3 linked regions of the Canis lupus familiaris genome follow. The protein of the gene in region 1 interacts with the protein of each later gene in a biochemical or structural test. Links are inferred from orthologs where the notes say so. Each region holds a gene or a part of one and is shown in the gene's direction. Other genes may lie near its edges. The genes, in order: RBSN, RAB5A and RAB5C.

Evidence for each region.
Region 2: the proteins of RBSN (region 1) and RAB5A form a complex in vitro, tested with the Homo sapiens proteins (3 studies listed by BioGRID, with this or other methods). The link is inferred for Canis lupus familiaris from reciprocal best matches to the Homo sapiens genes RBSN and RAB5A.
Region 3: the proteins of RBSN (region 1) and RAB5C form a complex in vitro, tested with the Homo sapiens proteins (2 studies listed by BioGRID and IntAct, with this or other methods). The link is inferred for Canis lupus familiaris from reciprocal best matches to the Homo sapiens genes RBSN and RAB5C.

The regions. Positions count from the first base shown.
Region 1 is NC_049241.1:5,250,997-5,254,644, reverse strand, and holds part of RBSN (rabenosyn-5), read left to right. Parts: intron 1-2,356; coding exon 2,357-2,497; intron 2,498-3,648. UniProt on the Homo sapiens protein: Rab4/Rab5 effector protein acting in early endocytic membrane fusion and membrane trafficking of recycling endosomes. Required for endosome fusion either homotypically or with clathrin coated vesicles.
Region 2 is NC_049244.1:23,836,274-23,839,921, reverse strand, and holds part of RAB5A (ras-related protein Rab-5A), read left to right. Parts: intron 1-86; 5' UTR 87-179; coding exon 180-342; intron 343-3,648. UniProt on the Homo sapiens protein: The small GTPases Rab are key regulators of intracellular membrane trafficking, from the formation of transport vesicles to their fusion with membranes.
Region 3 is NC_049230.1:20,627,384-20,631,682, forward strand, and holds the start of RAB5C (ras-related protein Rab-5C), read left to right. Parts: upstream 1-1,370; 5' UTR 1,371-1,383; intron 1,384-4,299. UniProt on the Homo sapiens protein: The small GTPases Rab are key regulators of intracellular membrane trafficking, from the formation of transport vesicles to their fusion with membranes.

The DNA.
Region 1 (3,648 bases):
TTTCTTGGACAGCTGAAAGGCCTCCGTGATCTTTAATGAGTGTCCATTCTGAGTGTCCGCTGAACTGAGTCACATACTGTGACGTCACTAAGACTTTGATGCTAGTGGGTACAGAGGTTAGACAATATCTTCAGCTTCTTGTGGTGATTTATTTCTTAGAGGAAAAATGTTTAAGGTTACTTAGGGAATAATCGTATGGGAATCCACTTAGAATAAAAGAGTAGGAATTTTATGAGTTGTGAAAGAAATTTGTAAGAATTCTCTTGTGTTTTTCCCCTCTCTTTTCCCTGTACCTCAAAAGAACTAAGAAATTGAGTTAAGGATTCCTTTAGTCTAATGATCATTTGTTTAGTCAGGAAGGAAGTCTTGTTTGTGTGGGAGTTTTCTGTGTTTCTGAATCAGGAAAGTAAAGTTTTAAAGACTGACAGCAAAGATTTTTGAAAAGTCCTTTAAAAAGCAGGTCATCTCTTCATTTGGTCTTTCGGTTCTTAAAAATTTCATGACATTGCTGGTTTTGTCAAGTGAAATGTTAAAGCCAAAAGAGCAAACCTTGGGATCAGGTTTTGGTGGCAGTTTACGAAAGAAAATATAAACTTGTCATTAGTAGGTGGTGAGCGAATTTGGGCCTCAGCCCTGGTTCATCTTTAGTTTAGCGCCTGTACGGTAAGTATAAGAAAGGATGGTTGGAAATTAACTGTGGCTTCTACTCTGTGTTTTGTTGTTGTTATGGGATTGTTCTTCATTGGCCGCCTCTTGAAGTGCTACACCTGAGAAGGTTGCCAGAGTATTCTTCTGTCCTCATACAGTGGTTAAATGCATGTACTGCCTGTTTAACTTGACACAGTTTAGTCTTGTTTGCAGAAATGAATTAGTGATTGCTAACTCCAATTTCCTGTCTGCTAACCCTTTGTTTACCTCAGGCAGTTTTCTCTCCCATGTTGAGAGATTACTTGAACGTATTTTAGATGGTGTCCATTAGTCCTGGTGGACCTTATTTTTCCAGTGGAAGAAAGCCATCTCAAAGTGGCTATTAGCTTGACTGTCTAACACAGCCATATCTATAAGCTTTACAGTCTCCCTCCTCTGCCTGCCAGTCCTTCCATATCGACATTTCCCTAGGTTTTTGGAAAGCTGTGGTAGTGTTTTTAATGTTATTCAGATGATAGAGCACTTCAGAATTGTGGGAACTCCGTAAAGTATTGATCTATTAAATCTAAAAGAATTGTATTTTGTATTAAGTCTGATATTTACTACTAGATTCTAGAGGGAGAAGGAGATATCACCTAAGATTTAAGAGCCTTAATGAAAGCAACTTAGAATCAAGAATTTCCCCCCATAAGTTGACTGTTGTTCCTTTTTAACAGCAGGTCCTCTTACCTCAGCACAGATAGCAGAAAAACCCTGTTCTGTAGAGGCATAGTTTTTGAATCATGCTGGCTGGGGAGAACTGGGGTTCTTATTTTAAACAGATAAGGTTTCCACTTGCATCCCTGCTGCCTTATAAGCTCTTGTGATCTGGGGTGCAGCAAGGTTTTCCTCTCTTTTTGTCATGTCCTCATTTATAAGTAGGGATACTACCTGCTTCATAATGTGAGCAGGCGTTGGCCTGATTTTTTGAAAGCACTTTCTTTTGTGCCTGGTACATGCAAAGAATCAATCCAGGAAGCATTCATTTTCTCTTCTTACCAAGTCTGGTTCCTTTTGTGTTATGTTGTAGCTGTTATACCTGTTTCTTGAAGCTTTTTATCAGTGTCCTCATACATGCATTCATTCAGTAAGTGAGTGGGGGAAGAACTCTATGTACAGCTAAGCATTATGGGAAACACTAGTCCAGGGATGCACATTTGGTTGAATTCTCTCCTGGAAGTAAACAAGTATTTACTCATGAGAGCATAAAATAAATAAATTAATTAATACTGTAGAATTTAATTTAAAAAAAAACGTTATTTTAATTGAAATATAGTTTACACTTAAGTTTTTACATCTACAGTTAAGTGGGTTTTAAAAACTGTATATACCCATGTGATTCTCTCCCCAGTTAAGATCTAGAAAAAAACATTTCCGTTACCTCGGTCCCCTCATTGAAATAGATTTTAATTCTTTAATTGGGCTCTTAAATTTGGCAACGAGCAGTAATTTAGCTCTATAATCGCTACATAAACCAACTTAGTAACCAGTGAATGGGTTGCTCTGTGGTATTTGTAATACAGCGGTTGTGGACTTACTATTGGAATTTACTTGATATATAAAATTTTTTATATAAAGTGTAGTCATTTCATCAACTCTTGCGTTTTGAGATTTCTCTTGACTTTTTAGTAGATTTTATGGATTCATTGTGTTTGCTTCATTTTTCAAGGTCTTGTGCAGAAGGCTAAGAAAGCCAAGAACAGGCTGTTGAAACGAGAAGGAGATGACCGAGTAGAATCAGGGACACAAGGATACGAGTCTTTCAGTTATGGAGGGGTTGACCCATACATGTGGGAACCCCAGGAACTAGGTAAGAAATTCTGTTCATTCATTTAGCAAATGTTTGAACATCATTGTGTTCATTGTTTTAAGAGTTAGCTGAGAGAAAAAAAAAAGTGGAGTGGGGAGAGGTGCCTGGATGGCTCAGTCAGTTAAGTGTTATCCCCCCGCTCCGCCCCGCTATGTGGTTGCTGCTCAGGTAATGATCTCACTTGGGTTGTGAGGTGAAGCCCCTTGTTGGGCTCCACACTCAGTGGGAGTTTGCTTGAAGATTCTCTCCTTCTGCCCCTCCCCCTACTCACATGCTTATTCTATCTTTCTAAAATAAATAAATCTGAGGCCTGGATGGCTCAGTCAATTAAGCATCTGCCTTTGGCTTAGGTCATGATCCACGACCCTGGGCTGGAGCCCCAAATCGGGCTCCCTGCTCAGTGGGGAGCATGCTTCTCCCTCTGCCTACAGCTTACTCTGCTTGTGCTCTCTCTCTGTCAAATAAACAAAATCTTTTATAAAAACAAAAATATTTTAAAAAGATTTTATTCAGAGTTAAATAGCTAAGAAACTATGGAACTGAGGTAGGAATCCAGGTGTTTGACATCAGCCCACGTAGAGGCTCCATTGACTGGGTTATTTCCTCTCATGTAGGATGTTACCTGCCCAGCAAGAGATACTGATTTATGCAACTTAATTTTCTGAAACACATAATCATGGTACCATCTACTGACTTTCAAAATAATTATCTTTTTGGGGTAATGAAAATGTTCTAAAATTTATTTTGGTGATGGTTGTACAACTCAATATGCTAAAAACCATGGAATTTGTATGCTTCAAATAGTGAATTGTATGTGTGAATAATATCTCAACAGATCTGTTACCAAAAATGCCACATGAAGTTGAACTAACTCATTTTACATGTCCTTTAACTGTTTAATGGTAACAAAATTTAATATATTTTCTGTCTGTGCAATGGATAAACAATGATTTCCTTATAAGATTTTTTATTATTATTATTATTATTACTATTCATGAGAGACACAGAGACATAGGCAGAAGGAGAAGCAAGCTCCCTGTGGGGAGCCTGATGCAGGACTCTATCCCAGGACTATTATTAAAAAATAATAATAATAGTAATAATAAAATTTAAGAAATATTCAGGGCAGCCCTGGTGGCTCAGCGGTTTAG
Region 2 (3,648 bases), on another chromosome or scaffold:
ATGTTATAGACAAAATTTACTGAAGTGATTGTTGGATTTGTTTACTGATTTGTGTATTTAATTACTTAATATTTGTTTTTGTGCAGGTTTCTGTATATCCAGAAAGAAAAAATTTGACACCTTGCATCCTGGAAGTTCATTTAAGAGACTGAAATTAGGGACTTCTTTCAAATTTGGACATGGCTAATCGAGGAGCAACAAGACCCAACGGGCCAAATACTGGAAATAAAATATGCCAGTTCAAACTAGTACTTCTGGGAGAGTCTGCTGTTGGCAAATCAAGCCTAGTGCTTCGTTTTGTGAAGGGCCAATTTCATGAATTTCAAGAGAGTACCATAGGGGGTGAGATTTTCTTTTTCCCTTCATTTAATTGAATTATACATTGGCAAAAATTTTGCATTTCCAGTTGCATGATGATGAATACCTAAAATAGGTCACACAGTGAAGAAAACTGTTCAGCAGACTTCAAGATTTAAAAATTATCTGGATTTTTGTGTAGGTAGCATCTTCCTACATTTTGATTTCCTGGTTACCCCCAAGATGGTTGTGTAAAAGCTGGAATACATATACAAGCATGAACAGAGTCAATGTCCCAAGTAATTGAATTTGATCTGATACCTGTTCCTTGATAATGATTAGAGACTTCTTCAAATTAATATGCATTTGTGCTAAATTATATTGGCTTTAGAATGAGTAATGAAAATAGTAAAAGTTAACCTTAAAATTCTAATTCTATATAGTTGGACTATTTATGAATTATACTGATTAGTAAAATTAATTAACTTGTATTAAACTTGCATAAGAATGCTCCTAGATTGAAGGAAGAGAAAAAGTCAATGATCAATGAAGAGGGACATGAAAGGGAAATGGGACCTGTCGGGAAAGATGAAGGAGGGGATAAGAGTGTAGAGTAAGCACTGAATACAATAATTGTGTTAGAGCTGAGATGAGGGGAAGGTAAGAGGCAGGACAGAGACAACTCATAGTGCAGTGTTGTGGGTAGAAGACAGGAAATTTGATAATTGAATTTAATCAAATTCACAACTATATAGCAGTGGGGCAGAAGAGCCTTTTCAGGGCCTTGGTTTCATCTATCATATGAAGCTTTTGAATTGGGTAGTATCAGGAAGCACAGCTTTAAGATCAGTATTTTGCAAGGGGCGTGTAATTAAACAGTACTATATTTTTAAAGGAATGCATAAGTGTATTTTAATCTCATACATATAAAAAACTCAAACTTTTGACATGCATGAGACTAATGACATGTAACAACTTCAGATCTTTTAGAAGTATAACTCTATGTTGTGCATTTGGTGTTTGTCCTCAAGTACACTTGGGAATTTTATACATAGTTCAAATCCTTCCAGTAAAATAGTTTGTAAAACTATACTATCTCTTGGCTTTGCCTGCATACGAGAAATATACTACTTACGTGGTATTTCCACGTAAATAGACTAATTTCCACTTTAATAGACTTAGAATGAGTGAGGATTATCAACCTCTTTTGTTTTTGTGTCTATCAAGTTACACAGTGTTGTGTTTTAGTGTTTTATAAGATTTATTTATTGAGAAAGAAAGCACCGGGTGGTAGGTGTGGGTAGGGGCAGTGGGAAGAGAGAATCCTCAAGCAGACTCCCCACTGTGTGTGGAGCCCCTCAGGGGGGCATGATCCCAGGATCCTGAGATCAAGACCTGAGCTGAAATCAAGGGTCAGCTCTAGCTGACTGAGCCACCCAGGCACCTGTAGTGTTTTATGTTTTTATAATGGGTGAGCATCAAAAATGTGGTCCATGATAAGGGGCTTTTGAGTTAGAAATCTAATGAACAATATATTATACATTCTTTGTGGTATCTTTGTTAATATATATGTATGTATACATACCCACAAACATATATATTTGGTTTAGTAATGAAATATTACCTCTCACGGTAATAACACTTCTCAAGTGGTTTTCAGGGGCAGCAATTCCCAAAGTACATATGCATTTGAGGCTATAATACCTGGGCCAGACAGGATTGGGCCTTGATATATGCCACCCTCCCTCTTTTCACAGTACATACTAAAATAACAAAAACACTGAAGTACTATGGTAAAGAATTGAATTTCTGGGAAACTACAGGAGCCTCAGCAGCCTAAGACTAGAATCTTCGTTTTTGTTTTGGATATTATGGTCATCCAAATTTATTTTTTCCTACTGACATTTCAAGGGAGGACATTTACAAGAAAAATTTAATCCCTGTATCAATGAGTCATACATATCTTCTGATAAGTGTATATATGCATATATAAAAATCTCCATTTCCATTTAATACAAATTAGCTTGTTTACATTTCATCAGTTTTTCAAGTTTTTTGTTCCTACGTGTAAAGCTTCCTTAATATTCTACTTGTACAGATCAAATCTAGCTTTTAAAATCAACTTTAAAAGGAATTTATATACAAATTTCTGTGTCAGTGGATGTTGACCACATATTAATATCTTTAGGAGGTATGGTGCCATTATGATTACATCCATTATGATTACAGCTGTGATTACTAGTTTTTGGTTTTGTTTGGAGACATAATTGACATAAAACATTGTGTAAAGTTAAGATGTGAGGCATTGATTTGATGTTTTTACAGTGAGTGCTGTTCTTTTATGTTCTTTGCTTACAGCTCTTCCCTCTTAGGAACTTTGATAGTATTCTGTTTAAGCATTCAAGGATTTCAAGGTTTAAGCAATTTAATGATGACCACAACGGGTCCGTAACTTGTAATATGTATTTTTGTTTTGGCTGATGTGTGGTAAGATTTATCTAAATGAACTTGACCAAATGTTTTGCATTTTATCTGTGCTTGATTTTTTTTGATTGTTTGTATCTAGTAATATTCGTTATGGTGTGAAGACTCACCTAAAATTTTCATCTGTGTTTTAATGTGGGAATCATATGCTATACTCTCGAATTTGTGTATTCTAGAACCTTACATTCATCAAGAATATCAGGGTAGTTTATGTGTTTCTTCTTAGACATGATAGCTTAATTTCAGAATCCATGTTGTCTCGCAGTGTCCTATACAATTTGCCCCTTGACCCTGTAGCACTCACAATGAGGTTAGGTAGTTAGGTTGTGGGTTAAGCATTTTGAGGAGTTCTAGCTTATCTGTAGGGCTTTAAAGTCTGCTTTGAAGTCTTAGTGTTTAAGACAAGCCCAGAAGGTTAGCAAGGAATATTAATGCTCAGGTGGTTGTCTCCTTCCTACTATCTCATCTGGAGGCTTAGTATTGCTTCAATAAATATCGAATAAATATTGGTGGGCCATCTTTCACTTAACATCTTAAGTAGCTAAAGACTTTAAAGATTTCAAGTGAGGTACTTTTGTCAAAAAAACTACTTGTTTTTAAACATAGTTAAATGCTATTTTTAAACAAGTTTGTTTAAAACAAATTTGTTTAAAAACAAATTTTTAAACAAAATGCTCTTCAGTGTAAGAGCAGGATTAGAATATGCAATGAAATAAGATGCAGGCATTCAATTTTTTTCTTTTGAAAGATAAATGTCTTATACTACAGTTTAATTTTGTATGCACTGATCGTCAAAGAAAGGTCAGACGTATGGTTTAGGTTATAGAATTATATGTAAGAGCAGTGTTACAGTGTTCCTCTTGCAGG
Region 3 (4,299 bases), on another chromosome or scaffold:
ATGGGAGTTATGAATATTGTTAGAAAGAAGCACCCTGGTGACCAGATGGAACTAGGTGTGGGCAGTTTTATGGCAGGCTGTCCCAAACAGGTTGATTCTCCAGCTCAGGCTCCAAAATATGATTGGTGTTCACCCATGTCACAGGAGCAACGCCTACAGCTCTCTCTGGCCTGAGCTTTGATTGCATACAGGTTTTGAGTACTGTTCCAGGGAGTGGGACACAAAGGCAGAGGAGATACCGGTCTGTGTTGGGGGATGGGGGTGGGCGGAGACAAGAAGTGGTCCTAATCCACATTGAGGAAAGAAAAAAAAAAAGAAAGAAAGAAAAAAAGAAAGAAAGAAAAGAAAGAAAGAAAGAAAGAAGAAAGAAGAAAGAAAGAAAGAAAGAAAGAAAGAAAGAAAGAAGAAAGAAAGAAAGAAAGAAAGAAAGAAAGAAAGAAAGAAAGAAAGAAAGAAAGAAAGAAAGAAAGAAAGAAAGAAAGAAAGAAAGAAAGAAAGAAAGTCCTGATCCATACGGAGGTCACGGTGGGGGAGGCAAACAGAAGTCGTTCTAATCTGTGTTTATGGATGGAGAGAGAGTCAAAGCAGAAGTGGTCCGGCTCTGTTTCTGGCAACAGAGACATGAGCTGATTCTGGCTGGAGGTGTGGGAGGCAGAGGTAGAGGTGATCCTGGAGTCTTGGTGTCCGGCCAAAGGAGGAGGGTCCTGGTTTATGACTGACAAGTGGCAGGAGCTCTCCACACCTCGAGAACCCTTCCTATTAGCACTTCCATCACCTTCCCCATCGCAGAATGTCCCCAATAGTCGAGCTCCCGGAGCTGACTTGGCCTGAGAAAGTGCAGACAGGGGCTTCTCGGGTTTAGCCAGTGTTCAGGACTGCGGCCTCCTGTGCATTCATTCACACCATGTTTTTCCTTAACCAATTCTGCACACACAGCCTTCTGCCCTCTTCCAGCGCCCCACCACCCGCCTCCCCTCGGGGCTCCTGGAACCCAGGGTGACGCTGTTGGCAGCCCTGGCTTTAAGAAGTTCCCGGCCGAGCTCCGCCTCGCCGGCAGCCGGCTCCACCCTAAGCCTAAGTCCCAGGCGGCCACCGGCTCCTCCCAGCGCTGAGAACTACAAGTCCCGCCGTCCCTCGCGCGCGCTCTCCCGCCTCTCCCTTGCCCCCCAAAGGCGTCGCCGGTGAGTCGGCCAAGAGTGCCTCCCATTGGTCTCTCCACCTTGTCAGTCATCTGGTATTGAGGGGCGGGTCTGAGGTGGAGATCCGGATCCGGAGCGGCTGAAAGGCGGAAGTGGAGGCCGGAGCCTGGGACACCGCCGGGGGGAGAGGAGCGGAGCCTGTCCGAGCCCCGGCCCCAAGTAACGCCGCCGCCCCGGAGACGCCGTGAGTGTGCCTGTCCCGGGGCCTAGTGTCTCGCTCGCGTTGAGGCCGTTCGGGGCAACACTTCCTCCCGCCCAACCCCGGCTTAGGGGGATACTGACCCCTCCCCCGACCCGTAGCCCCCTCTTCAGGGGCTCCCCAGGCGTCGGGCCAAAGGGGGGGCCCTCCTTTCCTTCCCTTACCTGCCCTTTATGAGCCTTGGGAAGCCGCCAGGGTTCTCCTCTGGCCTGTCCAGTCCAGTTGTGGGAGGCAGAGACCACAGATTCTGCTCTCTCTGCTCCCAGAACTGGAGGAATCTTTGCTAGGTGTGAAGGAGTCGGTCTTCCTTCTCTATAGAGGCGGCGAGGAGTGCTGTCTGTCGCCGTTTTCCTCGCACCCCCCCCCCCCAACCGTCCCACAAAAACAGTTGTCTCCTCCAGCCCTAGAGAAATTTTATCTCGATTTCCTGGGGCGGGGTGGGGGCGGAGGGGTCCTGGGTGAGAGCCTTCCACACACACAGACTCCCACAACTCCTCACTTCCTCTCTTTCCTCAAGCCCAGGGAGCCAGCCAGGATCCCAGCAGGATTTAAAGTCTAGGCCACTTTTTAGGAATGAGCTGTTGCCTCCTTATCTTGCCCCCTCCACCCCAACTCTGTCCTCTGGTTATGTTGTTCTCTAGTTGTGCTCTCTGAGTGTATCTATCTCTCTTCCTGCCTCTGAAAAATTTAGCTGAGGTTTGCTTAATCCTAGCTACAGATCACAGATCATGGTGGATCTGCCCATTCATTATCTTCTCTCTCCCCTCCTCTCCCCCTCCCCCTTGCTCCAGGCTCAGCCCTGTCCTCCCAGAGCACGTGAGTGGTTTCCAAGCTGCTTCAGAGGGACTGCTCCTCCTGGGACTGCTGTCTGCTGGTCTTTAGGGAATAGGGGAAAGACCAGAAATAAGGACTGTGGAAGTGAAGGGTCCTGGCCTATCTCATTCCCACTCTCAGACACACATACCCCTCTCCTTGATCAACAGGTCTCTGCCACTTCTAGTCCCAGGGCCTCTCTCCAGTCCCTTCCGGGAGGCTTGAACAGATTATAGATTACAGAGAAGTGAATTGAGACCACAGTGGCACCTCTGGGTTCTTAATGTGTTAATTTTTGTAGCCCAAGGAATTCTCATGTATGCTGGAAAGTGCTGACATCCGCCCCGCCCGCGCCCCCTGCCCCCCCTCCAGCCTTTCCAAGAGGCAGCCTGTGCTGACATCTGATCCTTGTCTGTTGCTTGGGACTTAGGTGTGTGAAATGGCTGTTGTCTCAGACCAGGTTCGCAGGTTTTGTTATGTGGCCAAAGTACAGGCCAGAGACTATACCTTAATGAGAGTAGCCTGACTCTTTGAGGCCATGACTGACCCTTGCTATCTACAGCCAAGGGAGGGAGGAGAGGCCATGCAGCCTTTGGGAATTTCAGTAGCTCTTCAGTGTTTCGGGCCATCTTTACTGTCCTTACAGGTGCTAAACATTTTTTGTCTTGGGATCTTTTTGACTTCTTGTGGACAGTCACCAGGGTCCAACTCCTACAAACTTTTGAGCTAGACCTGGGTTGTACTCATTTCATTTTTTATTGGACAACAAGAAAGCCTACCTTATTAGGATCAGTGGTTGGATCACAAGCTCTCTATCTGTGTGGTCTTCTTTGGAAAGTCGTTGGAGACTTCTGCGGCCAGCTTAGTTTCTCTAATCTGGTCAGCCTGTGCCTCTGAGGGACAGACCAGAGAAGCCTCTCTGCTCACTGGCCACTGGTCTCTGACCAGACTTACCTCCTCGGTAGTGGGCTGTGGTTTCTGGAACTCTTTGGGAGTCCCAGGATGAGGCTGCCAGCCTTCTGAGGGGACCGTCTTTGTCTGGACATGCTCTCCCAGCTAGGATTCTAAAACAGGTTTTTTGAAGGAGAAGCTCTTGTTTTCAGAGAGACATGGAAGGCATCATTGCCCCGGTAGTTAGGTAGTTAGGCTGCCACTTCTGGCATCCAGAGATTGTAGAGTCCAAGCAGAGCTCTGATGTTACTTGGCAGAAAGAGGGAGGGCTCTGTGTGAGACAGAAGCCTCTCCTCTCTTGCCTCTTCCAACTAGTTGGCCTTTTCCTGCCTTCATACAACAGAGAGGTGGTAACAACTGATTTTTAGAAATCACTTTAAAGTTGCAGTTTTTTTCTTTTAAAGATTGTATTTATTCATGAGAGGCGGGGCAGGGTGGGGGAGGCAGAGACAGGGAGAAGCAGGCTCCCCTCAGAGCAGAGAGCCTGGTGTGGGACTCTATGCCAGGACCCCGGGATCACGACCTGAGCCAAGGCAGAGGCTGAACCTGACTGACCCACCTGGGCAGCCAAAGTTGCAGTTTTTTCACACATGTTTCTCACAGGAAACAATATTATATTTTCACACCTGTTCCTCACAAGAGTCCTGGGAGATAGTGGGATTTGTATCTCCGTTTTAGAGATGAGGCTGAAGGAATTTAAGTAGCTAGCCTTAGATCATCCAGTTAGAAAGTGGTGGAGTTGAGGTTTGGGATTTGGGATTTGATGTGCCTCATCTTCCCTAAGAGTGGTCCCTTCTTGGGTCTGTTTAAGGAATGAGCATGCAAAGTGAGCAAGCAGAGGCCCCAGTGCAGAGACCCTTAAGCATCCCTCATCCTTGATGCCCCTCTGCTTCCATTTACTTCCCCACCCCCACTCTGTCCTGCCATCATCCTGGATCCCCATCTCCTCTGCCTCTGGGGACCATGGCAGTTAGGAGTCCCAGCTCAGTACTCTTCAGGGCCTGACAATTGGCTGACATCTGTACCATTAATTTCTGGGAACCTGAAAGCCATGATGGGTAGAAAATGAAAGTAAAAGTGACTGGACTCAGGGGTCTCTCTGGGCAGGGTTATGGGTAATGGGAGCCAGCAGAGGCG